Linked DNA regions of Stegostoma tigrinum. The protein of the gene in region 1 interacts with the protein of each later gene in a pairwise test. Links are inferred from orthologs where the notes say so. Each region holds a gene or a part of one and is shown on either strand. Other genes may lie near its edges. The genes, in order: protein boule-like, tfg, serf2a and znf385c.

What was found.
Region 2: the proteins of protein boule-like (region 1) and tfg interact in binary tests that used the Homo sapiens proteins (3 or more experiments, as listed by UniProt). The two-hybrid records come from large-scale screens. The link is inferred for Stegostoma tigrinum from reciprocal best matches to the Homo sapiens genes BOLL and TFG.
Region 3: the proteins of protein boule-like (region 1) and serf2a interact in a two-hybrid assay, tested with the Homo sapiens proteins (2 studies listed by BioGRID and IntAct). The two-hybrid records come from large-scale screens. The link is inferred for Stegostoma tigrinum from reciprocal best matches to the Homo sapiens genes BOLL and SERF2.
Region 4: the proteins of protein boule-like (region 1) and znf385c interact in a two-hybrid assay, tested with the Homo sapiens proteins (2 studies listed by BioGRID). The two-hybrid records come from large-scale screens. The link is inferred for Stegostoma tigrinum from reciprocal best matches to the Homo sapiens genes BOLL and ZNF385C.

The regions. Positions count from the first base shown.
Region 1 is NC_081360.1:31,528,834-31,536,345, reverse strand, and holds the start of protein boule-like, read right to left. Parts: upstream 3,018-7,512; 5' UTR 2,927-3,017; coding exon 2,909-2,926; intron 1-2,908. UniProt on the Homo sapiens protein: Probable RNA-binding protein, which may be required during spermatogenesis. May act by binding to the 3'-UTR of mRNAs and regulating their translation.
Region 2 is NC_081365.1:29,138,118-29,145,196, forward strand, and holds the start of tfg (protein TFG), read left to right. Parts: upstream 1-4,073; 5' UTR 4,074-4,187; intron 4,188-7,079. UniProt on the Homo sapiens protein: Plays a role in the normal dynamic function of the endoplasmic reticulum (ER) and its associated microtubules. Required for secretory cargo traffic from the endoplasmic reticulum to the Golgi apparatus.
Region 3 is NC_081386.1:9,217,316-9,224,702, forward strand, and holds the start of serf2a (small EDRK-rich factor 2), read right to left. Parts: upstream 3,019-7,387; 5' UTR 2,890-3,018; coding exon 2,883-2,889; intron 1-2,882. UniProt on the Homo sapiens protein: Positive regulator of amyloid protein aggregation and proteotoxicity. Induces conformational changes in amyloid proteins, such as HTT, driving them into compact formations preceding the formation of aggregates.
Region 4 is NC_081384.1:13,221,426-13,228,417, forward strand, and holds the start of znf385c (zinc finger protein 385D), read right to left. Parts: upstream 3,009-6,992; 5' UTR 2,950-3,008; coding exon 2,928-2,949; intron 1-2,927.

The DNA.
Region 1 (7,512 bases):
CATTCAGAATGTCTCCTTCGTCCAGGGACTGTCTTTGAGCTGGCAGGTCACAGGCCATGTGCAGTGTACATTTTAATGAAGAATGACTAAGTGAAAGGATACTGGCCTCTGTGCAGTTATTTCAGCATGAAAGCATGAAATGTCATTAGAAATATAGACCGTATGCTGCTTCAGTGCTTCTCACATGACAAGATTGCAATAAATGACCAAAAGTCTTCACCAAGTACAACGTGGCATGCCGCAAGAACTGGGTAGTGAAACTCATGGAAGCAGCATTACGTTTTAGGGACAGAAAAATAATCACAGTGCCACAGCCAACTGAAGGCAATTCCTAAATTTAAATTTTGTTCCTTCTTTAGGATTTCTCTGCCAATGACACATCAAATCTCCATTCCTCCTCCAGAGATACCACAAAAGCAAAGAAAGATGTGCCAGAACTCAACTTATAGAATCCCTACAGTGTGGAGGCAGGCTATTTGATTCATTGGAGCCACAATAACCCTCCGAAGAGCATCCCACACAGACCCACCCACCTTATCCTATCTGTACAAACCCTGCATTTCCCATCGCTAATCCACCTAGCCTGCACATCCTTGGACACTATGGGCAATTTAGCATGGCCAATCCACCTAAAAAGCTGGAGGAAACCCAGACATAAGGAGAATATTTCATAAATTTGGTGATACTGTTTATTTGCCTTCTCTCTCTTTCCATCAACTCCAAAGATTTAGCCTCAGAAAATAAACAGGTGTCTTACGGTTATCGCAACAGATGGCGCACCGAGGTAAGAAGTGAGGAGTTTCTGAGCCTTATTGAAAGTTCAAGGTTCCACAATGAACAAGTCAAGCCCCTGTGCCATTTCTAATGGGTCACAGGGGCTGCTTCATTGCCTTTCCCTACAGTTAATGTGCCTAAAAGCTTTACAAGCAGTTGTTTCACCCTAATGAAAAGATGTCTATGCCATTGGTGGATTAATAGTAATTAACAATTAATTAAAAATACAAAAGAATTTTACAAACCCAGTGTCACACTGGTGCAGTAAGCAATATGAAAGGTGACAAGTGAAAATTAAAGTTTATGATAGACTATCATGTCGAAATGGGGAAAATAATCATGCTGCAGCGTTAGCATTTAATTTCAATTCTTTCAATTTAATTTGATTACAACGTACACCAAGAAAAATACAGCTTTACCACTTTTGTACAACCTGTTTCATACAACAATTTTTACATTCAATATTTTAAATATCTAAATTTACATATTTTATGTTTTCCCTAACTCGACTGTTTGTTTTGCTCTAGCATTCACCTAATGTCCCATGTCAACCAATTTAGAAAACCAGCTGAACTTTTCCTTAACCACGAGAAGCTCTTACCTGCACTCCCAAGAACCACGCATAGTTCAATTCCAAAGTTTCAAATAGTGAATCCATGATTTTCCGTTTTACAACAAAGTTAAGCATGTCAAATTTTGAACTATCCAGTAACTATTTAGTTAAAGAAAAAAACTCGGTTTAAAAAAATTCCATCCGCTCCATTAGTAACAACGCAATTGGTAATGCTGCCTGAACTGGTCAAACTATCCACACAAAAACATCTACAAACTTGCTTGTGTGTTTTGTTACCCAGGAGGGTGAAACTTATTCAAACAATAATCCCCGTCTGGGTGCCCCCGCCCCCCATTGCGGCGCAAGCGCCAGTCCGGCAGCCGTTACCCCGTGCACGCGGCTGCCACCAGCTTCTTTCCCCACCGCTAAGGGCAACGACGCTTGGGTGAAGCTACAGCGACTATAGTTTTTTTTCAAAGTAATAAGTCACAAGAAAACAACATAAGCAACCAAAATAAATGTGTTATTTCCAATTATGAATTTGGGGCTCCGAACAGAAAGCGGCGCAGCGGATTTCGTTTGAGCCATCCTATTCTATTAAAAAGTCGCTCACCCCTTTTTTTGTAAATGAAATAATTTATTCAATACCGGTTTATTATACATGTAGTCCGGCCACGCCAATTTACAGCCCGTGGCAACTGGCTTAATCTCCGTGGGGATCGGACCAAACTGGTGAGAACTGGAACCAGTGCGCCCGCGCAACGGCTTTTGGCGGGAATCTGCGGAATAGGCGACGCTCACAAACTCCCACATGAACAAATAAACCAACAAAAAAAATCCCCAAACACCATGGAGATGCCAATGTCGGACCTACTTAGTACGGCCTTTACAAATTAAAACCTACCATAAACATCGCCGGCAATGTAAGTTATCAAATTATACCGTACCATTCCTTCTTCCCCACCCCTCCCCGCGCCATCATCAAATAAATCACCAAACAACTGAGACTGTGGAAAAGAACGGAATCTATTCAAAAACAGATCCGTTCAAATTGTCACGCACTTCAATCTTGTTTACAAATGTGTTCGTACTCAGACCGCGTGAACGCTGGCTAAATTTCGCACCTCCGTTCCCGCAAATTAAGACCGGGAGCACGTGATCTAGTCAAATAACACCAAATTCAAAAAGAAACACACCGAAAGTGAAATCCTCGCCTAAAATCTCGGTCGCCGTGATGGCTCCGTTCACACTGGCGTCGTGATTATGCGGCGGCGTGGCCATGTTTTGCCAGCACACCTTCCAAGCTTCGCCCACCTCCCAGAACAACAAGTTGCAACTGTTGAGGTCTCTGTCTCTCCCAGATGTATTGATAATTTACATAAAAATATCTGTGAGTGAAGGAATCAGCCGGCGCTGTAGCTGCGATCGCAATCCCATTAGAATCGGACTGGTGGTTGTGGCAGACAACCCCTCTTCCCCAAGTGTGAGGAAAGCAACTTCACGGCGACCCTTGCTTCCCCCCCCGCCCCACCGCCCGTCCAGCTTCATTCCAGCTGTGGCGACGCTGCCCAGGCCACTCACCGCTCCTTCGGTGTCCATCTACACGAAAAAACGTTGGTTTCGGGGGGGGGGGCGTAATCACAAAATTTTACTCAACCCTCAAAATAAAAGCCCGTTGGTTCTGTACTTGGGTTTGTGGGCAACTGGCAGCACCTTAAATTACCGGGTCATACCACATCGAGTCAGTGACCGGGGCGGCCAAACCCCCACTGGCTCCACTCACAAATCAAGCCAATCAAATCCCAGGGCCACCGCGTCCGCCTCAAATACCATTAAATATTCAGTGCAAGGGACCGCTTATTTGTTTCCCAAGTAACGAGACCTTGCATTCAAGCAAGAATAAAAATATGTGATTTGTAATTTTCATTTTAGACAGCTTTACTTTCCTGAAGACACCACGCAACTGTTGTTGTTGTCAATCATCTTTCAGTTACTTCTGTGCCCGTACAGTTAGCGAGGTCAATCATGGACTTTAATTTGCGCTAGTAAATTGGATTTGGGTTTTTGTCATAACGGTCGTGTTGAGAAACAATGCGCACAACGACCCGAAACTACTAACTGCGGCATGCCTGGAGGGCTCGGTAGTAGGCAAAGGGGGCGGGGGTTGCAATTCGCCCATAGGAAAGGGTGTGAGGCCGAACTTTTGCTCCCACACCACCATTCGTGCGGCTTTGACCTCCCTTGCCCAGCATTCCTCTGAAGTATCAGTTGACGGATGATCGCTTCAGTAGAAAATTGAAACGATGTCTTTCTTCTAACGTGTCAAGCTGTTTGAAAGCACTTTTATAATACATCTTGCTTTTTTAAATTATTGAACGGTAGCATGCATCCGACTGGCCCAAACCGTACTTGTCTGCCTATTTAATGTGTGTTTCTAAACGCAAAGTGCAATATTATATCGTACTGCCACCTACGCATACATGAATAACCAATAGCTAAGCAAATTCAAGATCATTTCGTAGACCGAAAAAACAAGTGAATGTGGAGATGTAAAATATATTTCATTCAATTTTATCAGTTCAAACTAAATGATTGTAACTATTCTTTCGTTAGGAATTGTGAATTTGCACCCTATGGGTCAAAATACACATAGGCACTCAAAATACTTTGTCTGCTTTGGAGGGAATCAGATAAAGGATAAACATCTCTCAATCCCTTATCAACGTTATCAATCCTATTTTTGAACATTTTCAAGCAAGCAATGATTAAGTAAACATTTCAGAAATGTCTAATAACTTGAAACAAATTTTGAATGGACTTTTGAATGGCCATGCATAATTATTTATTTAAGGAAACTGTAGTCCTAATAATTAAGTTATTATGTACCCTATAATGTGCTGATTAGGAGAAAATTATTTGACTCACTCATGGGATGTGGAGGTGATGAGTCACTTTAAAACAAAACGTGCTGCTGATCATGTGGTGCAGGAACAGTACTGTTGACAGGAATTCCAGGATTTTTGATCTAGCAATTATTTCCAAGTCAGGACAGTGTGTGGCTTGGAGATAAACTTTCAGGTGAAATGTTCCCATTCACCTGCTATTCCTGTTCTTTTAGGTGAACATAAGGAATAAGAACAGAAATAGCTCATATGGGCATTGAGCCACCCATGCTATTTAATTGATATCTGAACCCAACACCACTTTTCCAATGCTCCCCATATCTTTTAATTTCCCTGGGAGACCAGAAGCCCTTCTATATCAGCTTTAAATACATTAATAGTATAGTATTCGCATACAGTTATTGTAGAGAGTTTCAAAGATTTGGAACCCTTTGCATAAAGTTTTCCTCATCTGTCCTAAATTATCAATCCCGTTTCCACAGATGGTGCCTGGTGTTCCAGACTCTGCAGCCAGAGAGAAATAACCTTGCATAGGTTACGCTATCAAGTCTCTTCAGAATTTTAATGATTCAGGCCCAATATAACTCTTCTTCAGAACAGAAAATGGATGGAAATGTGTTGGGTTTTATGGTATTGACAAAGACAAGTGGAACAGAAGGGAATATCAGGGAAAGATTAGAGAATAAGGGAGAATGGAGATAAAAGGTGTTTCAACTTGCTTCGCTCGCTGTAGGAAAGCCATCCCATCTTAGAACTAATCTGGTGAATTTTTAGTGTCCTATCTCCTTCTCAAAAAATAAAAACCAAAACTGTTCACAGTACTCCAGATTTCAGAACAACACAGCCCCGTATTTTTAGCTCAACCAAAGTAATCTGCTATCTGGTGGCATGCCAATACAGGCAAAGAGATATTAGAAATTTTAAAACTTTTTAAATTGATGCATTATTAAGATGGCTGCCAAAAGGATGAGGTGACCTTCGCAACTTTCACACAGTTTATCAAGCTTCTGGAAAATTGCAAGTGAATTACATGGTAGGGTGCAGTTCTTTGAAAGAGTATGCTTAAACAATACTTGTGGAATTACACACTTGCTGTTATCAAAGTTTATTCCAAAACATGAAACAAGGCACTTCTAAATTAAATGTCTCCAAGTTTGCAATGTAACAGAGAAAAGGTAACGAGATGATTTATAAACAAAGACGAAAGGTCACCATTACTTGCTGTTAAATTTCAACAGCCAATAATTATACAACTGAACCGGTCCTCAAATGCTGAAATTCTTTATCACAAGAGTCAGAGCAAACCTGGCAGTCTGCAGAAGAACACCAACAATACGTCAGCTGTAGCAAAATGCTGCACCACAGTTGCTTTTCAAGAACCACAAGACTAAGATTTGTTTAATAAGTACCCGCCCCTCCTTCCTGATTACAAAAGCTCTAAGATTATTTGTAAAGAAATTTGACCTCCTGAGACAAGAATCACTAGTGCCTATCAACATTTGGATTTATCAAGGGAAATGTGTAAATAAATAATTCTCTTGGTTTAAACTCACTCCAGCTGGCAACTTTTCTTTTTCAAGACTTATCCACACACATTACAAACATAATGATTTCAGTTTATCTCTGTTTATTCTGTCTAATAACACAGACATTTATTGCGCTGTCCTTTCAAGGCATTCATTTCCAGGGATTCAATATTCTAATCATTAGTCCAAAATAATTTTTAGCTCCTTGGGGTTTACTTCTATCATCTCCCTTTCGCAGCCTGGTAACATCTAACCCCAGGATTCTCCTTCATAGTCATAATATTACTGGAGATTCATTTGTGAATGTATGCTAGATAAAATCTTCCAGTTTCATTTTAACTCCTTGGGAATTTTGCAATTCCAATCCGATTGTAATTTTTCACCAGCAATGCAGTGTATTAAACCATATAGACTTTTAGCCTGTTCTGAATCTTGGCAGACGAACTGTCTGTGGCTTATCATGGATATCTTAGTCCCTTTCACTCACAAAGCATATTTCCATGGCAATGTAAATCACATGAGCCTTTTATAACAGGTAGAAATGCTGTTTAGCTACCCTTGTGAGTCCCGCTGTTTTGCACCTTGGAATTAAGTACAACCCAGCATTCTCAACACTTTGTTAAGAAGTTGGAGACACACAGTCTATCAACTGTTAGCACACAGGCCATTGTCATTGTTTCTGCATATAAATACCTTGTAGCTTCTTTTACCTTATACAGTGAAGCACATGGTCCCATTTAATCTCTATCAATCAAACCATCCAGGCTAGCTGAAATAATGGGAACTGCAGATGCTGAAGAATCCAAGGCAACAAAGCGTGAAGCTGGATGAACACCGCAGGCCAAGCAGCATCTCAGGAGCACAAAAGCTGACGTTTCGGGCCTAGACCCTTCATCAGAGAGGGGGATGGGGAGACTGTTCTGAAATAAAAAGGGAGAGAGGGGGAGGCGGACCGAAGATGGATAGAGGAGAAGATAGGCGGAGAGGAGAGTAGAGGTGGGGAGGGGATAGGTCAGTCCGGGGAGGACGGACAGGTCAAGGAGGCGGGATGAAATTAGTAGGTGGGAAATGGAGGTGCGGCTTGAGGTGGGAGGAGGGGATAGGTGAGAGGAAGACCAGGTTACGCAGGCGGGTACGAGCTGGGCTGGTTTTGGGATGCATTGGGGAGGGGGAGATTTTGAAGCTTGTGAAGTCCACATTGATAGCATTGGGCTGCAGGGTTCCCAAGCGGAATATGAGTTGCTGTTCCTGCAACCTTCGGGTGGCATCATTGTGGCACTGCAGGAGGCCCATGATGGACATGTCTAAGGAATGGGAGGGGGAGTTGTTTGTTGCAAACCGAGCGGAGGTGTTCTGCAAAGCAGCCCAATGGTATCAATGTGGACTTCACAAGCTTTAAAATCTCCCCTTCCCCCACTGCATCCCAAAACCAGCCCTGTCCTTCCCCTCCTCCCACTGCATCACAAAAACCAGCCCAGCTCATCCTCTCCCCCCACTGCATCCCAAAACCGGTCCAGCCTGTCTCTGCTTCCCTAACCTGTTTTTCCTCTCACCCATCCCTTCCTCCCACCTCAAGCCGCACCTCCATTTCCTATCTACCACCTCATCCCGCCACCTTGACCTGTCCATCTTCCCTAGACTGACCTATCCCCTCCCTACCTCCTCACCTATACTCTCCTCTCTACCTATCTTGTTTTCTCTCCATCTTTGGTCCGCCTCCCCCTCTCTCCCTATTTATTCCAGTTCCCTCTCCCCA
Region 2 (7,079 bases), on another chromosome or scaffold:
ATCTGCTATCTTCTGCTAATCATCCCACTTCCCAACACTCATTTGCAGATTAGTCTTCCTCCTAGCATTGTTTTCCAATAATTTTTGTATCATCAGCAAACTTCAGTCACATTCAGACCCTTCAACTAAATCATTAGTATAGATTGTAAGTAGCAATGGTGGCAACCCATGAGTAGAGGCCAGCCAAACTGAAAATGAAACATTATTGTAAGTTCAATATCTGTTTCCTGCATATCAACCAATTATCCAGCCATGTAAGTACATTACCCAAACCTCATGAGCCTTTAAATTATAAAAATATCATTCAAATAATTTTTGAAATCCACCTACTTGCTGCAGCCCCAAATAATTCTCAGAAATTTGACTAATGCAATTTCTTTCTCATAAACCCTGATTACTTTGTCAAACAAATATTCTCCTGTGTCCACATAGTCACGTCCAGTAAACTGAGAGGCTGTATACCTCTTGACATCTTCTTTTTAATCATCCAGTTATTATCCTTAGCACTCAATATAATCTTAAGTCCTATTTCAGGCTCTTATCTCAGAGAGTCTTTTTCCACCTGACCTGAGCATTTCTGACCTCTTTCCCATTTCACTTGTACTGTTGTTGAAACCTTCATCCATGATTCTCATTTCAACAAGTACCAGCCTCCCATCTCAATAAACTAAGTTTTCAGCCCAAATTCTCTCCTAAGTATGATTCTACATAGCTCTAAGCCATTACTTCATTAGCTCTTTTCAATAAGTTTTCAATTCAGTCAAATCTATCTGAGAAGTCATCTCCAACCCTACATCTCTATCCATCAGCTCTATTTTTCTGATTCCAGATTACAGTCCTATTTATTCTTTCCTACCTCTGTTTTAGCGACTTAAACCAAGTCTTGAATTCATTTCCAAAAACACTTTCCCTTGCCAACTCTCAGAATCCATTGCCCAGTATGTATCTCCCTCTCCCTGTAAAGTGCTCAAACTTATGTTTATATATGATGTGGAGGTGCTGATGTTGGACTGGGGTGGACAAAATCAGAAGTCACACTACACCAGGTTATAGTCCAACAGGCTTATTTGAAAACACAGGCTTTCAGAGCTTCAGTCCTTCCTCAGGTGTTAACGGGAGAGATAGTATCATACCATTGATGAATCCACGCACCCGTTCCCCACCGTCTCATATACACACGTGAATCTATGGGGTGAATTTATATTTGTAGATACATCTTATTTTGTTCAAAAAGCACACAATTTATTGCCAGTCAGTCAATATGGTGTTTTATTACTTCCTACTTTAGACATAAAACCAGTCTGGCTCCAAACTAAAACACAAACAGATTCTGAACAAGGCCTCACACCTAACATGCATTGTCTGACCTAAAATGTCATCTCTTGTTTACACTGATAAAACCTTCACTTTTCTCAGGACCATGACTTGAAAGGAATTTGGGGGTCTACATATGTGGATTAATCAATTAAAATTTTTTAACTAATTGAAGATTTAACAGCATCTTAGGTTTGTTTAGTACATCAATGGTGTGAACCTTTGATCTTTTATTTATAAATTCTGTGTCTGATACTACCTCCCTCACTAATGCCTGAAGAAGGACTGTGGCTCTGAAAGACATAACAAGGTGTAGAGCTGGATGAACACAGCAGGCCAGGCAGCGTCTCAGGAGCACGAAAGCTGATGCTAGACCCTTCTTCAGAAGACCCTTCCTGTGGCTCTGAAAGGTGGTGTGTTCAAATAAACCTGTTGGACTATAATCTGGAGTTGTGCGATTTCTGACTATGTTTATATAGAACATGCTGAAGGAGGTTACATGATCGATCTGATTATTGTTTTAACTCCACTTTCCTGCCTGCCACTCAGAACTTGTGGCTCTTTTGTTGAAGAAAAGTCTAACTGAGTCCTGAATATATTCAATGATTCAACCTCAACTGCTCTCTGTGGAACAGAATTTGGAAGAATAATGGCACTCAAAGGAAAGATTCCTCTTCATTTTAGTCTTTCATGGAGTCTTAATAATATTATGCCCCAAAGTTCCATAATTCCCAATGAGGGTAACATTCTCTCAGCGTTTTTAAAGCTGCATTAAAAATTTATATGTTTCAATAAGATCACCTCTCATTTCTCTAAATGCTAAAGAGCACAGGCTCAACCTGCTGAGCCTTTCCAAATAAGAAAACCTCAATATCTTAAGAATTAGCCTAGTGAATATTCTCTGAATTGTTACCGATGCATGGATATCCCTTCCTAAGTCAGGAGTTTGAAATTGTACATAATTTTTAGATATGGTCTCACTAATGTATGGTAAAGTTGTAATATGACTTCCTTACTTTTATACTGCAATTCCCACATTAAAAAGCCAACATTAAATTTGTCTTCCTAATTATTGCTTTGCCTACATTCTAATTTTTTGATTCTAGACAGCAAATGCATGATCAATAAGTAGGATAGTGAGATAGGACATGAGCAGCAATGTTTTGGTCAAGACAGCATTTATAGAAGCTGAAGGGTAGCTCCATTCAGAAATGATGTAGAGATGTCCGTGTTGGACTGGGGTGGACATAGGCAGAAGTCACACAACACTTTTGGAGCTTGTGATTTTAAATAAACCTGTTGGACTATGACCTGGTGACATATGACTTCTGACTTTGTCTATTTAGGAAAACATTGAATGTAGAGATGACCTGCACATTTGCAGTGTTTGGCAGCAGATTTTGACAGTTTGTTGCTCTGAAAACAGAATTGGATGATATTTGATTGATGGCATTTGACAGAATCTTACAATTTCCTCAAGAGGAAAGATTTGATTAAATGAACCAATCTCCCTTTGCACAATACTCACAATTCTCACTCACTAAACCTGTTAGAGGACAGACACATTCCTGTCCATTCAGAACAGCACTGCTAATGTACCTACAACATGTGGACTGCAGTGGCTTGGGAAGGCAGCTCATCTCCACCTTCTTAAGGCTAAGTAAGCATGGTAATAAATGCTGGCATGGCCAATGACACTCACTCCCTGTAAAATGGTTTTTAAAATATGACAAATTATAATTTTGCCATTATAATGTGGTGAGACCACACCTGGAATACTGCGCACAATTTTGGACTCCGTATCTGAGGAAGATCATTGTGGCTATGGATGGAGTGCACCAAAAGTTTACCTGGCCAATACCTGGGACAGCAAAACCAATGTATGAAGAGAGACAGGATTGGTCAGGACTATGTCCACTGAAGATTAAAAGAAGAGGACTTCATAGAACTGTATAAAATTCTAAATGATTAGATATGGCACGTGCAGGATGTAAAATAACCAAAAGAACTGTGGATGCTGGAAATCAGAAACAAAACAGAAATTGCTGGAAAACTCAGCAGATTTGGCAGCATCTGTGGAGAGAAGAAAAACCAAAAGAACTGTGGATACTGTAAATCAGGAACAAAAACAGAAGTTTCTGCAAGCTCAGCAGGTCTGGCGGCATCTGTGGAGAATAAATCGGAGTTAACGTTTTGGGTCCAGTGACCCTTCTACCGAACTCAGGAAGTTCAAAGCAAGGGTCACCGGGCCCAAAATATTAAGTCTGTGGAGAGAAATCAGAAATAACATTTTGGGTCCGGTGAGCCTTCTTCATTAAAGCAGGATATTCTTGATGATCTGGGAGTCCAGGACCAGAGGTCACAGTCAAAGGGTAGAGGTTAGACCCTTTCGGATTGAGGTGAGATAGTGAGGCTGTGGAATTCTCGCTACAAAAAGCAATTCAGACCAAAATATTGGATGTTTTCCAAGATGGAGTGAGATACAGTTCTTATGGCTAAAGAGATCAAAGGTATTTCAAAAAAGGGACAAGGTCCTGAGTTGGAATTATCAGCCAGATTGGTGGAACAAGTCCAAGAGGTGAATGGCCTACTTTTTTTTTCCTGTAAACTATATTAACAGAAGGAGAAATGTATCTTTTTATGGAATTCAAATCCTTCAGATGGGCAGACTTCCTGAAAAATGTTAAAATGCTGAATGCAGGGAGGGAAATGCCAACCTTCATGTGTGAGTGCGCATGCTCGCTGCGCTTTGCCACGTCCAGACGGCAGGCCCGGGAGGAGAGAGGGGAGGGACTTGGCGTTTGTAGGAAACGGAGAGAAGGACAGGCACTGAGCTCGCTTCAAAAAAAAACCCCGCAAACTCCCAGCCACAGGTTTGTATTTTTCTCTCTCTCTCTCTCATACACACAAACACATTCCTTCAGTACTGATTGAGCAGTGAACGGAGAGGCCGGTCCAAGTGAGGAGCGGGCCCCAGGCCTACTCCCGGCCCGGCTCCCATCAACCAGCCGGCTGGCCCCTGGTGTCATCCGTTCGCACTCGGAGCCGCTCATTCCTTCATTCCGTACAGATCCAGGGTTGAGGGGTTGGCGGGGAACGGGGTGATTTCCTGCCGTGGGAGAGACGTGAGACCCGGCAGGAAGTAAATCTGAGATAACAAAAGTGTGAAGCTGGATGAACACAGCAGGCCAAGCAGCATCATTTTTTTTTGGTGGCGGGGAGGTCGGTGGGGGTGGTGGGAATATAGGGAGAGGGTAGTTTGGTAGCGGAGACGGGGAGTTTGGGTGTGTAGGAAGTAAATCTGTCCCGGTTCAGAACACAGGTCTTCTGAGAGTTTGGTGGGGAAGGAGGGACATTTGTGGGGGGGTGGGGTGTGGGGTTAGTTGGGTGGGGGGGGGTGGAGATATTTGGGGGGTAGGACGGCGGGGGAGGGGTGTACGTTTTGGGGGGGTAGGTCGGAGGAGTACATTTTGGGGGTTTGGTCAGTGGGTGAGGGGGTATTTGAGGGGTTGATCAGTGGGGGAGGGGTATATTTAGGAGAATAGGTCGGTGGGGGATGCAGGGAAGTTAGGGGAGGGTTGGTCGGAGGGGGAGGTGGGGAATATGGGGAAGGGTATGTTGGTAGGCGAGGTGGGGAATTTGGGGTGTAGGTTGGTGGGGGGTTGGGGACGTCGGTTTTTGGGGGTAGGTTGACAGAGGTGGGGGTTGGGGAGGGATCTGGGGGTTGGGGAAGGGGGGAGGTGGGGAAATTGGAAGGTCAGTCAGCAGGGGGAGGAATTTGGCAGGGTTATTGGATGAATGTGGGTTCTGAGACAGATTGGAGGATGTGGCAAAAGGGTCTGTGTAAACTTTGGACCAGTGTTTGGTGGAAGGGGTTGTCCTGAGTTTGGCTGGGGGCAGAAACCGTTTTGAGCAGTTTGTTGTGATTTATGTTGGAAGGATTTCTGGGATGAGTTAGGTATAAAAGTGATACATAATGGTTGGTTCGAAGTGTATGGAAAACAGGGAACTGGCTGCTGAAGAGTAGAGTTTCAGTATGTAAAAAAAGTTGAATCAATCAGCATGTCTGTAATTGAGGAAAAGAACATTTATTTTCAATGAAGGAAATGATGTTTCTGCAGTGACAGCAACTGTCTATCTGATGAGATGATTTTCTGTCAGCAAGCTTTTTAAACTATTGATTTAAAATGCTTGTGCAAGTGTTAGAATATTTTATATGTAGATTGTCATAAAATTGCATTTCACTTGTTTGGTTATACTGCTTCTCGAAGAGATGGGTCCAATCAAACACAAACTTAAGATACTAACAATTTTGGACGTTTGTTAAAGGTTTGATAATGGACAACAGGATGAATTGAAGGAGCATGAGGAGTCAGTTGCAGTTTGAATTTGGATCAGTTATCCTATGTTACCTGCCTGAAGTGCCCTTGGGTTGATGTGATACCGATTCCTTGAGTCAAATGTTCCTTGTCGTTTGCTATTGAGCAGAATACTAAATATTCCAGAATTATCAATTCTAACTTGCACTTTGACGGGAAAGCTGCAAATGACTCGTAGTTGCAGTAGTATGGTACTAATTGCATATGTGAGTGTACTGTACCTACAGATTAATTTTCTTCGTGAATAGGTGTATGGATATCATGGTAAATAAGAGGTGAGAACATGTTCCTGGAAACTTGGAATTTAATACTGGAGCATTTCTCAGCATTTTGGGGCATATTTTTCATATTTTATTGTAAAATATCATCTATTGTTAATTTATACATGCTGTTTTATTACTTATGTGTTTAATCATAATCCATTTGTACCTCGAATTCTTGACAGTGATGTTGTTAGATAACCCCAATCTATGTTAATACTTATTAATACTTAATATCTTGCTAAGCTTGTAGGCAAAAGAATGGGACATGAATATACAAAACTTTTCTTCGCAAGTATAATCCAGGCCTAGACACTGAAATCGTTAAAAAGAAGTAACTACCTCAGAGGCTAGCAGCTCATCATACATTTACTGATTTTTGTTGCATTGACTTTGAGTTACGTTTGGAATTGTGATGTTGGAGTTCAGATCTGATTTTTGAGTACACATGAACATTGTGTATAATCATAATAGAGACCAGATACAGATGATAAATGAATATTCTTGTATGTATGACATATATGTTGTCAAGAATTGACCATGTCACGTTTAATCTGTACCTTTCCCTACAAAAATGAAATGAATATATGCAGTATATATCCAAAATTCTTCCATCCAAAAATATTTCATTGGTCATACTCAAGCTTTTAGGCACAGTGGGGTCCATTTGATTTGTTAAATCCCTGTTTATATTACTTTTGCATTTATGTCAAGTAAATGATACGGATGGTGATTTTGGATTTAATCCTCAGTGAGGCAACGCGACTCATAGGAACATTGGGCCGTAGGAATTGGGAGTAGGAATGGGCAGTTCAGTCCTTTGAGCCCTCTTGGCATTGACATGAGCATATCAAATCTTATGCTGGTCTCAACTCCACTTCTCTGCCTGTAACCCGTAGCCCTTTATCTCGCTTTTCATCAGAAACACCTATTTCTCTTTTGAATCAGTTGATTTGATTCTACCTCTGTCTCTGTGGCAGTGAGTTCCACAGACTCTCAACTCTCTGAGAAAAGTAGTTTCTCTTCATCTCAGTTTTGAACTTAGCTACTCTCACTACATCTATGCCTACTTATTTGAGACTGTCCCACAAGGGGGGGGACATCTATTCGATGACCACCTTATCAA
Region 3 (7,387 bases), on another chromosome or scaffold:
ATATAACAAGCAACATGATGTGGGCAACCATTAGACTTCAGCTGATAAGTGCCAAATTACAGGTGTACCACTTAAATACAAAGAAATGACAGTTCTCAATGAGATCAACTACAGCTGGACGGTCACTTGCATTACCGTTTGCTGAATCAGCTCTTATCAACATCCACAGATACTATCACTGGAGTGAAACCAGCCATATACATTTTGACTACAAAAACAGGATAGATTCTGGAAGGTTTCCAGTAACACCTCCCAACTCTTCAAAGTCTGTCCACAATCTACAAGACCCACATCAGGAGTGTGATGGAATATTCTCCAATTTCTACATCTCTGATAAACCAAGCTTGAAACCATCCAAAACAAAAAGCAATCTTCTTGATGGAATTCCACCCATTTTCCACATTCAATCCAACCACCATTTAGGCAAGTTGCTGTAGTGTGTACCATCTACAAGATGCAATATAACTATCTAAGAATTTTCCTTCAACATCTGAAAGGATACCACCATGAACTACAAATTCCCTCCAAGCAATACTATCCAATCTTGGAACATTACTACCTCTTAAATATCACTAGGTCAAAATCTTGTAAGGACTTCCCCACAATGCTATGGTGCACCAAACAAACTATTGTAATTCAATGGCTGGCCTACCAGCCTCTTCAAGGTTATGGGCAATAAGTGCTCACATAACCAGCAGCACCTAGATTTCATGAAAGAAAAAAATAACAAACCAAGAACACAACAGGCTTAATGGGTTAAACAGTAGATACAGAAGTATGACAAGAACCCCATAAAACTGGAAGAGAAAGTAGCCAACATAATCAAAGACCCCTCCCACCAGTTAGACTCTCATCGATCCTCTTCCATTGGGCAGAAGATACAAAAGTTTGAACAAACTTACCAACAGCTTTAAGAACTGAATCTTCCCCACTTATCTGACTTACAAACAGACCTTTCACATTTTTGAGCTGATCTTTCTCTGTAGCTATACCACTAGTATGTTTTTTTCTATTACCATAATGCACTTATGCAAGGTATGATTTGTCTTGTTAGCAAGCAAAACAATACTTTTCACAGTGCATGTGTTAAATCAAGGAGTTTAACTGATAATTGTTTTGGACAGAAATTCCTCAACTTATGGGGGAAATCATCAACTGACAGCCAGGCAAGCAAAAAAGAAATTCAGAAAGTATTCTTCTGCCGATCCCCCCAAACCCATTTACCAACTCCAACCAGACAAGAATGGCTTTTTTGAGAGAAATTAGCTCAATGTTGCAATGGCTTTACAAGCCACAAGAGATTTGTATCAGACAAGGTTAGCATAGTGTATGGGGCAACAGACAAAGAGAGCTGAAGAATTTCAAATGGGAGAATCTCTTCCCAAAGGGCTGCGAACTTTCAGTCACTGAACAGGTATCTCAAAACCAGTCGTCAGTAAACCCACTCTTGATTTTTGGACCTAATCATCAGACAGTTTGGATGTGGCTGAGCCAGACCGGGTGGCTCAAGTCACTGAGCCCAGAAGGCAGACTGCAAAGCCAATAACAAGCCAGCACAGTCAATGCAGCACTCGACCCAAAAAAAGCCAACTATTTTCCTCATGTAATGAGGAATTATCAACAGCAGCTTGAGACAGTCAGGTTTTCATACAAGCGAATTTAAAACACCAAATCCTGTACACAAAGATCTTAACAGATATTTGAACATAAAAAACATTGAGACAAATGGGAAGGCACAGCCGACATCAACAATCTGACTACCTAATTGAACAGCAAAGTAGGGTCAAAGGGCCCACTCTAATTACGTGTGTTCTGAGATTCTAGTGAAGGATGGAACAGTTTAAAGGGACTGAATAGCCTCCTCTTGCTCACACCACAACTGCTACATGTAGAAGGAGGCCATTCAACCCAAGTCCACACCAACCCTCTAAACAACATATCACCTCCTACAATATCCCTGTAACCCTGTATTTCACATGGCCAACCCACCTAGCCTGCATACCAACTGGACACTATGGGCAATTTAGCACGGCAAATCCACTTAACCTGCACATTTTTGTATTGTGGGAGGAAACCCACAGTGTCACGGGGATAATGTGCAGACAGTCGCCCGAGGCTACAAACAAGCCCGGGTCCGTGGGTAACCAAGTGTGGAACTGGATGAACACAGCAGGCCAAGCAGCATCTTAGAAGCACAAAAGCTGACGTTTCGGGCCTAGGGGCCTCTATGGCCGAAAAGTCAGCTATTGTGCTCCTAAAATGCTGCTGGGCTCTGTGTTCATCCAGTTCCACACTTTTATTATCTTGGATTCTCCAGCATCTGCAGTTCACATTACCCCGGGTCTCTAGGGCTGTGAGGCAGCAGATCTAGCCACTGAGCTACCATACCTCCTCACTTTCGCTACTTTCGGTGCTTTCACTCAAGAGTCAGGGCCGAGGCCGATCCTCCGTCTGTTACTAGGGAGCTGCGGTTCCATTTCCCTCAAGCTGCAGGAGGGTCATCCCGCCCCCTACCCTTTAACGGCTGCCTGCCGATTTATTTTGAGCCGACGAAAATTCCCGGAGTGCGGACGTGGCAGGGAGAGAGGAGGGGCCAGGTCCAGGTGCCTGTACTCAGGAGCAGGCCGCTCTCAGACAACGAAAAGCAAACAGAAAAGGGTGAGGAGTGGCAAACCAGGGGCCTATCAGCCCTCACCGCCCACCACCCCGTGCCTCTCGCTCCAAGGGCGAACCCGTCGATCGGGGCCTAGGCCTCAGAAAGGCAACGCTCGCAACCCCTCCCTCCTTAAACCTCGCCGGTCGACAATTCAGCTCCGAACCCGTCGTTTCATGGAGACGGAAAAGAGAGAGGCGGGCACCGTATCTCTCTCACCGCTACTCACGGGTCATCCTGTCCTTTTGTTTAATCTCCCACCCCCTGCTGCTGCCGTCGCCGCCGCCGCCACAGCCGAATCCGCTGCCGCCTGCTAACCGCCGCGGGCAGACGACCAAACCTGATGAACTGCTTTCAACCCCGCCCACCACCTCCTGATTAGCTACTACCGTCAGTTCCTACTTCCTGAATGGCTGGTACGCTGTCAATCACGTGTCGTCACACCACAACATGCACGGTTGCGAGAGGATCTCACGTGGGGGAGGGGATTTGAGCCTTTACCCATTGGGCCCTTGTCTTTTTTGGACCGTTAACCAAACCCTGGTAACTTTCACAACTGACTTATGATGCACTGGCAAAAGATTGTTAACTGATACAATTATTTGGATCTATCTGCAGTGCTCCTCCTTGGAAAATGCTCGTACTTTAATCGTTACATGAGCTGGATGCTTTCAATTTTCAGAGAATTTTGTATTTCAACTTCTTTATTCTTCCCCAGAAAAATCCCTCTGGTCATCCACCTGCTTCAGTGTCCCTCCACTGAATGGTTGATGGAATTTTAGTGCTGACACATACACCATTCCATGATTGATGATGAGATGAAGAGTGGGATGAAGCAGAAAATGTATGAATATGCAATGCGTAATACGCATTGAGGATCAAGCTCAGGCTCAAGCAAGGATTGACAAAACAATTAACAGACCCTAAGACAGAGGATAGGAAACTTAGGAATCTATAATGGAAAAATGGATAGAAGAGAAAAAATACTTATCACAGGAAGTCAAAAATTATCGCACACACCAGGCTGGATTTTGCATTCAGTGGCAAAGAAAGCCTGCCCCTTTGTAGATTACATGGAACAATCCCTTTTCCAGACCTACACTAGCCCTAAACCCCACCTCTTCCTCCATTACATTGATGACTATATCGGCAACACCTCGTGCTCGCACGAGGAGCTCAAACAGTTCATCCACTTCACCAACACCTTCCACCTCAACCTTAAGTTCACCTGGACCATCTCTAACACCTCTCTCTCCTGCCTGGACCTCTCTATCTCCATCTCTGGCAACCACCTAGAAACTGATATCCATTTCAAGCCCACCGACTCCCACAGCTACCTAGAATACAGCTCCTCCCACCCACCTTCTTGCAAAAATTCCATCCCCTATTCCCAATTCCTTTGCCTCAGTCGCATTTGTCCCAGGATGAGACATTCCACTCCCATACATCTCAGACGTCCTTGTTTTTCAAGGACAGCAACTTCCCACCTCAGTGGTCGAGAACGCCCTCAACCGGGTCTCTCGCATTTCCCACAACTTATCCCTCACACCCCCTTTCCCCAATAACAACCAAAACAGAATTCCCCTCATCTTCACATACCACCACACCAACCTCTGGATCCAACGCATCATCCACTGACACTTCCACCATCTGCAATCTGACCCCACCACCAAGGACATTTTTCCCTCCCCACCCTTATCTGCTTTCCAGAGGGGCCACTCTCTCTGCAACTCGCTTGTCTGTTCCACACTCCCCTCCAGCCCCATCTCACCCAGCACCTTCCCCTGTAAATGCAGTAAGTGCTACATCTGCCCCTACACCTCCCCACTCAACCCCATCCCTGGCCCCAAGAAGACTTTGCAAATCAAGCAGATGTTCACCTGCACATCTGCTAATATGGTAAACTGTATCCGCTGTTCCCGTTGTGGCCTCCTCTTCATTGGGGAAACCAAGTGGAGCCTTGAGAACTGCTTTGCAGAACACCTACACCCAGTTCGCACTAAACAACTGCACCTCCCAGTCACGAACCATTTCAAATCCCCTTCCCATTCCTTAGATGACATGTCCATCCTGGGCCACCTGCAGGGCCACAATGATGCTACCCGAAGGTTGCAGGAACAGCAGCTCATATTCTGCTTGGGAACCCTGCAGCCCAATGGTATCAATGTGGACTTCACAAGCTTCAAAATCTCCCCTCCTGCAACCGCATTCCAAAACCAGCCCAGCTCATCCCCGCCTCCCTGACCTGTCCTTCCTCCTACCTATCCTATCCTCCCACCTCAAGTCCCACCCCCATCTCCTACCTACTAACTTCACCCTGCCCCCTTGACCTGTCCATCCTCCCTGGACTGATCTATCTCCTCCCTACCTCCCAACCTACACTCACCTTTACTGATCCATCCCCGCCTCTTTGACCTGTCTGTCTCCCATCCAGCTATCTTCTCCTCTGTGCATCTTCTATCCACCTACCCCTGTCTCCCGATTTATTTCAGAATCCCCTTCCCCTCACCCATTTCTGAAGAAGGGTCTAGGGCCGAAATGTCAGCCTTTCTGCTCCTCTGATGCTGCCTGGCCTGCTGTGTTCATCCAGCTCTACACCTTGTTATCTCTGCCAAAAGAAAGCAGCTCACAAATATCCTACAGTGCCTGTTCTGAGTTTCCCATTTCTTACTTTAATCTGAAACCAAGTGGCATGCATCAGTGATGTCAGCAAGCATGTAAGCAGCTAATCCCATTAAGGTATTTACCAGACATTTAAAAATATGGGAGTAGGCAAATGCTATTCAACTGCTCAAGCCTGTTGTGCCATTCTAGATCATGGCTGATTATTTCCTTCAAAACAATATTCATGCTCTATCCTCACATTCCTTGGTGTCATCAGTAATTAGAAATCTGTCAATTTTTGCTTTGAACCCACTTATTGAGTGAGCTTCCATAGCTGTCTGAGTTAGAAAATTCAAAATACCATCCTCTGCTTGAAGTGGTTCGTCCTTATGTTCATTTTAAATGGTGTCTTTTTAGGATATTTTCAGAGATATTATTACATACCACTGGATTAATGGGACTTAAACTCCAGCCTTCAATGCTGAATCTGTGTCCCCTGGTCCTGGACTAAACAGTCCAGGGAAAAAAACTTTCTACGTCATGTCTAATTCTGCTAAACTCAGAAGAGGCTCAAGAAAAGAGAGCAATGGATGTGATCTATTTGGATTTCCAGAAGGCCTTTCACAAGGTACCACTAAGGAGGCTGCCATTTAAGATAAGAGCCCATTAGAAACAAAGTACTGGCATGGATAGAGGATTGGCTGATTGGCAGAAGGCAGAGAGTGGGGATAAAAGGATATGTTTAGAGATGGCAGTTGGAGACTAGTGGATTTCCGCAGTGGTCAGTGTCGGAACCACAATTCTTCACGTTAAACATTGATGATCCGGAAAAAGGAACTGAGGCGTTTTCTTACAAATGAGACAAAGACAGGAGAGACAGGTAGTGTTGAGGAGGCAGGGAGACTGCAGAAGGACTTGGCCAAATTAGGAGAGTGGGCAAAGCAGTGGCAGATGGAATACAATATGAGAAAGTGTGACGTTGTGCATTTTGGTTGGAGGAATAAAGGCGCAGACTATTTTCTAAAATGGGGAAAGTTTCAGAAATCTGTGCATAACGGGACTTCCGAGTCCTCGTTCAGGATTCTCTTAAGTTTATCATGGATGTTCAGTTGGCAGTTAGGAAGGCACATTCAGTGTTAGCATTTATTTCACGAGGGCTAAAATATAAGAGCATGATGGACAGCTGAGGCTATTTAAGGCTCTGGTCAGATCGTATTTGGAATATTGTGAGCAGTTTTGGGCCCTGTATCTAAGGATAGTTGGCCTTGAAGGAGGTGTACAAGAATGATTCTAGGAATGAAGGGCTTGTCATATGAGGAGAAGTTGAGATCTCTTTATTCAGTGGAGTTTTGAAGGATGAGGTGGGATCTGATTGAAACTTACAGAATACTGAGAGGTCAGGATACAGTGGACATGGAGAAAATATGTTCAGTGGTTGGAGAGACTAAAACTTGAGGGCACAACCTTGGAGTGAAGGGATGACTCTTTAGAACTGAAATGTGGAGGAATTTCTTCAGCCAGAAGGTGGTGAACCTATGGAGCACATTGCCACAGAAGACTGTGGAGGCCAAGTCAATGACTGTATTTAAGACAAACTTAGATACGTTCATGATTAGTAAGCGGATCAAAGATTGTGGGGAGGAGGCAAGAGAATGGGGTTGAGAAATATTTCAGCCAGGAGCAAATAGCAGAGCAGAGTGTGTTGGGCCAAATGGTCTAATTCTGCTCTTATGTTCTAGAATATAGGTCCTAGCTCCTCAGCCTCTTCTTAAGAATGAGTAGTTTTGAACCAATGCTGCACTCTGTTATGGTGAGTGTACCCATTTAAAACAGATTAGCAGTGTCTTCACCCTAACATGTCATAGTTAACTGATGAGGATGCAAGCATTTCCTTTCAGTCAGTGATAATGGGAACTGCAGATGCTGGAGAATCCAAGGTAACAAAGTGTGAAGCTGGATGAACACAGCAGGCCCAGCAGCATCTCAGGAGCACAAAAGCTGACGTTTCGGGCCTAGACCCTTCATCAGAGATGGGGATGGGGAGAGGGTTCTGGAATAAATAGGGAGAGAGGGGGAGGTGGACCGAAGATGGATAGAGGAGAAGCTAGGTGGAGAGGAGAGTATAGGTGG
Region 4 (6,992 bases), on another chromosome or scaffold:
ACTGCAGGAGGCCCAGAATGGACACGTTGTCTGAGGAATGGGAGGGGGAGTTGAAATGGTTCGTGACTGGGAGCTGCAGTTGTTTGTTGTGAACCGAGCGTAGGTGTACCACAAAGCAGTCCCCAAGCCTCTCCCCAAGCAGATGGAGATAAAGAGCTATAAGGAGAGAGCAAGGTTGATGAGTTTTGCAATATTGAAATGAAAATCTGGCATTGACAAGATAGACAGTTCCCACCTTCATAATTCTGTCATTCTTTGGTCAGTTTCCCTGAGCTGATTGTGTATTTCACAGTTCATATCAAGAAGCCTGGAGGGCAAAACTGCTTTGGAAAAATAATGTTGACGGAGGACAGCCGGGGAGGCACCTCCCAGTCGCAAACCATTTCAACTCCTCCTCCCACGCCTCAGACGACATGTCCATCCTGGGCCTCCTGCAGTACCACAACGATGCCACCTGAAGGTTGCAGGAACAGCAACTCATATTCCGCTTGGGAACTCTGTAGCCCAATGGTATCAATGGGCACTTCACCAGCTTCAAAATCTCCCCTCCCCCGACCACATCCCAAAACTAGCCCAGCTTGTCCCTGACTCCCTACCCTGTCCTTCCTCCTACCTATCCCCTCCTCCCACTTCAGGCCCCACCCCTATCTCCTACCTACCAGCCTCATCCCGCCCCCTTGACCTGTCCATCCACCCGGGATTGACCTGTCACTCCCTTAACTCCACACCTACACTCACCTTTACTGGCTCCATTCCTGCCTCTTTGACATGTCTGTCTCCTCTCCACTAATCCTGCCCTTTATCCATCTTCTATCCGCCTCCTCCTCTCTCCCTATTTATTTCAGAATCCCCTTCCCTTTCCCCATTTCTGAAGAAGGGTCTCTGCCCAAAACGTCAGCCTTCCTGCTCCTCTGATGCTGCTTGGCCTGCTGCGTTCATCCAGCTCCACACCTTGTTATCTCAGATTCTCCAGCATCGGCCGTACCTACCATCTCATGCTCCATAGGAACACTGCAAGACGCTGTTATTGTCACCTACCATCGCATTCCTCTGGGCAGCCCCAGGAATTATTAATGGAAAATAAACTGGCCGGAGTTCAATCCTATAGCAATTATTTCATGAGATAGGTGGTGAAGGAGAGGTTAGCAGTGATCTCAGCTAGGACAGGCAAATAAAGGGTACATAGTGAGGCAATAATAACGCTCACCACTTGCAGTACCTTCCTGCCGTGATCTCATCCAAATTCACATGGAATCACCAAGCAGAATTCTGGTTGATGCCTCTGTCAGAACATACTGCCAGCTGAGTCAGTTGTGCCAAAGTTCTGCACCAAAGCTGATCAACAACTTCTTGATTGAAAAAGCACTGAAACAAAATGATGTGCACTGCAGCTGACACAAGGTCAGAAAACAGGGATATGATGAGAATCACCACAGATTAAAGCAATGCGACAGATGGTGATGTAGTGATGTATTAGAAACTGTGGTCTTATCTGAAAGCGGTGGCAAATTATTGCTTCTGTAATTGTTGTCATGGTTTTGAGTATGCAGTTGCTCGCTCTTCCACTTTAGGTCTGTTTACTGGTGCCCTTGCTTCATGAGGAGAACATTTTCTGAGGGCCATGACTGTACAAGGAACAAGTGTTCCATTTTAAATAATCAGCATCTATATATATGGAATAAAAACAGTGCTGCAACAAAATGTTGCTAAAGCTCTTATCATATAGGCAGATAGAAGTAACTTGCGCTGCAAATAATATTGGTGTGCTTAAATTAATATTTAAATATTTAATATTTAAAAATCCATGTATTCCCCCCGTGCACCAAATGGAGCCCTTCAGTGTGCCAACAGAAAAGTGGACAAACTTATTATCAAATTGTCTTTACTGCTGAGTGGTAGCAGGGACAGATTGCATACCACCATACTGTCACAGTCCCCAGTGCTTCATTTATTTTACTTTGCATCGACACAAAACCTCTGGGCTGTAGCCACTGTGCTGGACTGATATAACAGTCATAATCTTATGTTATTGATATCATATTATGATTTTTAAACAGCCACCTGAACAACTGGCACAGGCAGTCACACTTCATTTAACATCTCATCCAAAAAAAATTCCTACATTGACATTGTTTACAAAATAATACTGTTCATACTCAGGTAATGGTTGATTCTGTCAGTCCCAGCCTCTGCCCCCAAACAAAGTCATTTTCATATGTCTTGTGCATAAATTAAGAAAAAGAATTTTACGCCTAAAAAATCCAAACACCTTGTACTTACCATGCACCGACCACCGAGCTCAAACTTGCTCTGATGCTCTGATAGAATCATGGAACAACACACCATTGGAAATGAGTATTCCATTCCTTCATGTCTCAGCATATCAACATATGATGTCAACGCTATAATTTCACTGCTGTGTGGTACTTTTCGGGGCAGGATTTGTGGGAACAGCTAGTGGGAACAACTCTGAGATAGCAAAATGAGTGGAGACAGTGGGCTTCAACCGCTCCAAAATGTTACTCATGAAGAAGTCAATCTCTTACTTTTTGACAAAAGACTTTAGTCTTGGAATCTTGACTTCTACACCAGTATGTCCTGTGCACAACAGAGCAGCAAACAAAGGATCGTTTACATCCCCAATAGAATGGCATAGATCAAACATACATCATCTCACCTCCAAAGCGCTTCCAAACATCATGATGTTTGAATGATTGCAATTAAGCAAATTTAACAGTTTGCTAAATTGGTTTGCAGGGCGCAAACATCTTTACTTTAAGAGAGTATGCCAGAGAATATGGATAAGCAAAATCAGACGAGAGGTAATGATAATAGTTGCCAAACCAGAAAGGTGACACAAAAAGACTATACAGTAAATTATACAGTTCTTATTTTTCACCAAATGACACAAATGTAATCAAACGCACTCTGGAGCTCTCCATGAAGCATGGCATCACTGACATTAATGACTGAGAGGAACTTGTTATCAATTGTTCAAAATCGTGATAGCTTGTCCATCAAGCAGCATCATACTTTGATTCCTATTGTCTTAATAATGAGGCAGAGCAGTGGCAGAGAAAGAAAGGAAAGGAAGCAAATCCTGCACTCCAGATCCCGCTACCTCATGGGACATCCTGCCACATTTACTCGAAAGATCTTTGGGCTGAGAATTGGCCTGTTCAGTCAAGTGAAGACCCACTGGAGTAGACATCATCCTTCAGCTGAGGGACAGGCACTGCTGATAACAAATGTAGTCTGCAAGATCATTCATATACTCTGAATACCATAGATCTGAAAACCTATGGTTCAAACATATTAACTTGTGTCCTCTTAAACATTATATCATCTTGTTTATGTTCTCAAACTGAAAATCTCCTCCTGGCAGAAACAGCAAACACTTAACATATTCATATAACATTCCCCTGTCTGTTACTGAAAATAAATGGGTTAATCCTACATTTAGATGGTAGGCAACACTCTCTGTTTAAATATGTCAAACCATTTATTAATAATGTCACCAGCAGTCATTTTCAGATCTTAATCTTCTGACCAAAGTGTGAGCATGAAGGAGCAAGGGGGTGGCTTGAAGACTCTCTTGATATAAATTATCAAAAATTTAGTTTTAATTTTAGCCTCGTTGACTCATTCATATCAGGGAGGTAATGAATTGCTACAAACAGATTGTTCAATCGTTGTTGTCGTACTGGTTAAGATAGTGGGAACTGTCTTTACTCTAGGTGTGCCGACAAGCAATGTCACCACATGTCAACTGATTGTCATAATTAAAATCCCAGCACACCTTAATCAACTCACTGATCTAATATTCTGACAGGAGACGCAGCGGAATGTTCAAGATCATTAAAATTGCCCAATTGCTGGGTTTTGATTGTGGCAGTAAACCTCATGGGGAGAGTTTTTTCTTCTATATTGACAACAGGACATGTTGGTTTCTTTGATAACTACCAATCTATTATCCAATTTGCAGTCTTAGGGGTTTCTTCTTTCAAAAGTGTATAACGACCTGATGTTTGAGTAGGTTTTTAAGTGCGTGAAGAAACATTAAACGTGCCAGTAAAAGCACAAACAGTAGATGGGAGGATCTTTTGCTTTCTTGAGAATTATTGCATTGGGAAGGGTGACTGCATCACTGCTGAATTTTCATGCAAATGGAATCCTCTCCTACTCTGTGGCTAAATCTTCAGAATCTGACTCAGAGAACTATGGGGCTGCTCTCTCCTGAGCCAGTGACAATCAGTGCTGGTTTAATCTGAGGGTCACCATGCCACAGGTGAGGGGAGAAGTTGAGATGGTGTGTCCTTTGTGGTAGCCTCAGCGAATCCCCATGCTGTTGAACCCATGCTGTTTGCGTCACTCTGCATTGCAAACCAGCATCTAGCCAAACCGACCTACCAACTCCCTGATTTAGGGATAAGATCTAATGGAACTTGAAATTAGGTGAGACATGTCAAGCCAACCAAAAGTACAGGACTTGAATATATTTAAGACCTCAAATCATTCACGCTGCTACCTGATTGTATAAATTCTACCTCTCCATTTGAGTCTTTGGGTCTATTGGCTGCATTCACCAATATTCTAGAGACAGAAATCTGTGCCCTTTAGGCTCAGCCAATCAAAACAGATTGAAGAAGCACGATATTTACTATCTGCATCCCAAACCTGAATATTTCTGAACCATTCCAGCCTCCGCTCTCTTTAGAGATCATTCACACACTCATGATTAACTAGAACAGCATCACATTTGATAAGTTGGTCTTCACTAGCCAATGGGAAGTGTGTAGGCACTCTCTCCTCCCAAATTCTCTCCCTGCCTCTGCTCAGCAATATTGTCTGGGTGAGCTTGGAATGTACTGAAAAATCCTGGAGGATGTTTATTTGCCTCTTTGTGAATATAAAGATTTAATGTCTACCCACTATAAAAGCAATACATTAAAACTTAAAAAGAAACCACATCCAGCACGTTTGAAAAGTTTCTATTATATAATACAATTGACATGTTAAGATAACCAGCACGTCCATTAGAAGCATTATAGAGTACTTAGAGTTAAAATTGGGTTTAATACTCACCGTGTTAAAAACGTCAACAACTCAAAGTTGGTATGTCATTTTCATAATGGTAAACATGTCATCAAAATTATCACCAAAGTGTATATCTGTACGCCCTTATAGGGGTCTCTCTTATTACCACAACTGGTCTCAACACAAGTCACAGAGATAAATAGGCTCAGAGGGGGCAAGAAGCCTCCAAATAAACGAGCTCCTTCTCAGTTCGAAGATACTTTTATTTGAGAAAAACAAGAGGTGCGCCTTAGGTAGCAGTTGTGATGTGTGAAAGATATTTCACCAAAAGACGTATTTCAGAAAACTGGTTCGACAACAGAAAGCAAAAAAAAGTGTTCACCGTTTCCAGTTGCTTCGCTGTTTGAAATGCGATGACATCCCTCACTATCCCCCAAGGCTTCCATGATTTGAACCAATTTTAGAAACTCTTTAATGAAATGCAATTTCCCTGCAGTGAAACTTTTGCGTACAGGAAAACCGAGATTCACAAAACAGGGTTATTTACATCGCCTCCGCTACATTGCTTCAGAATACAACCAAATATTCCCAAGACATTCTCTCCTTTATAGGAAGAAATAACACCTATAATGTACATCATGCGAAATGCATTTAAGTGTATAACGAGGTCGACAGCACAAGTTTATCTCTGAGGTGCTGAGGGATTAGTCATTCTGCAATCAAATCCGTGAAAGATAATGCTTGCAGATAATAAAAGGCAGCAAAAATAAACTTCCCCTTGAAATCGGGCTGGAAAGGCATCATTTTCACTCTCTCCGCGTCCCAAACTTGAATCTTTCTGGACTCCCTCAAGCCTCCACTCTCTTCAGAGATTATTCCCACACTCAAGATTAACTGGCAAGGTATCACATCTGAATTCTTTTTGTTTGAAATTATTTTTTTTGAATGTAGTACTTTTTTGAAAAGCAAGATTATTCCCTGACGCGATCTTCAAAAAAAATTAAGCTGCACAAATATGTGCCTGTAGGTAGAGAAAAAGAAGTCACCCTACCTCCAGCGCTGATCCCGAGCTCTGTTTCCCTCGCTGCCTCTAACATTGTCTCTCAACCCAGACTGAGCAGCAGCAGGCGCGCCGCCGACAGCAGCACATCCCGGGGGCGCGTGCATGTACGGGCGCGCGACCGGGCGGGGAGGGGTGCGCGCGCTGGCACCCGGCCCTCACCGATACCTGCAGGCGCGCGCCACCTGTACGCTCATGAGTGACCCGGGAGTGGGTGGCGGTCAGCCTGTACAGGAGGGAACCTCATCATTATTACCAGCATCATCATCCATTTCCCTTGCTGCAGATATCTTCATATCAGTTTACTGAGAGTGTGAGCGAGAGAGATCGTGGAAAAAACAATATCCTCCAGTACCGTCAACGTGCAGCCCGACCGCATCATAGCCAGTTAAAACTGATCAGAGTTTGTACCAAGATAATAAAATGTGAGGCTGGATGAACACAGCAGGCCAAGCAGCATCTCAGTTTGTACCAGGTCTCTCCCTCCCTCACCCCTTCCCCTTCCATCCCCAACACCTACACATATGTAACATTCAGACATTTGCACCCTCATTGCCAGCTACTGCCAACACAATTTGACTGACAATGCTGTCTCTTCTTTGTGTCAGAGATAATGGGAACTGCACATGCTGGAGAATCCGAGATAACAAATTGTGGAGCTGGATGAACACAGCAGGCCAAGCAGCATGTTAGGAGCACAAATGCTGACGTTTCTGGGTCTAGTTTTTCTGACAAAGGGTCTAGGCCCAAAACGTCAGCTTTTGTGCTCCTAAGATGCTGCTTGGCCTGCTGTGTTCATCCAGCTCCACACTTTGTTATCTCGGATTCTCCAGCATCTGCTGTTCCTACTATCTATTGGGTTACCTGTTGCCTCCTTAACATCAATGTGGGTCAA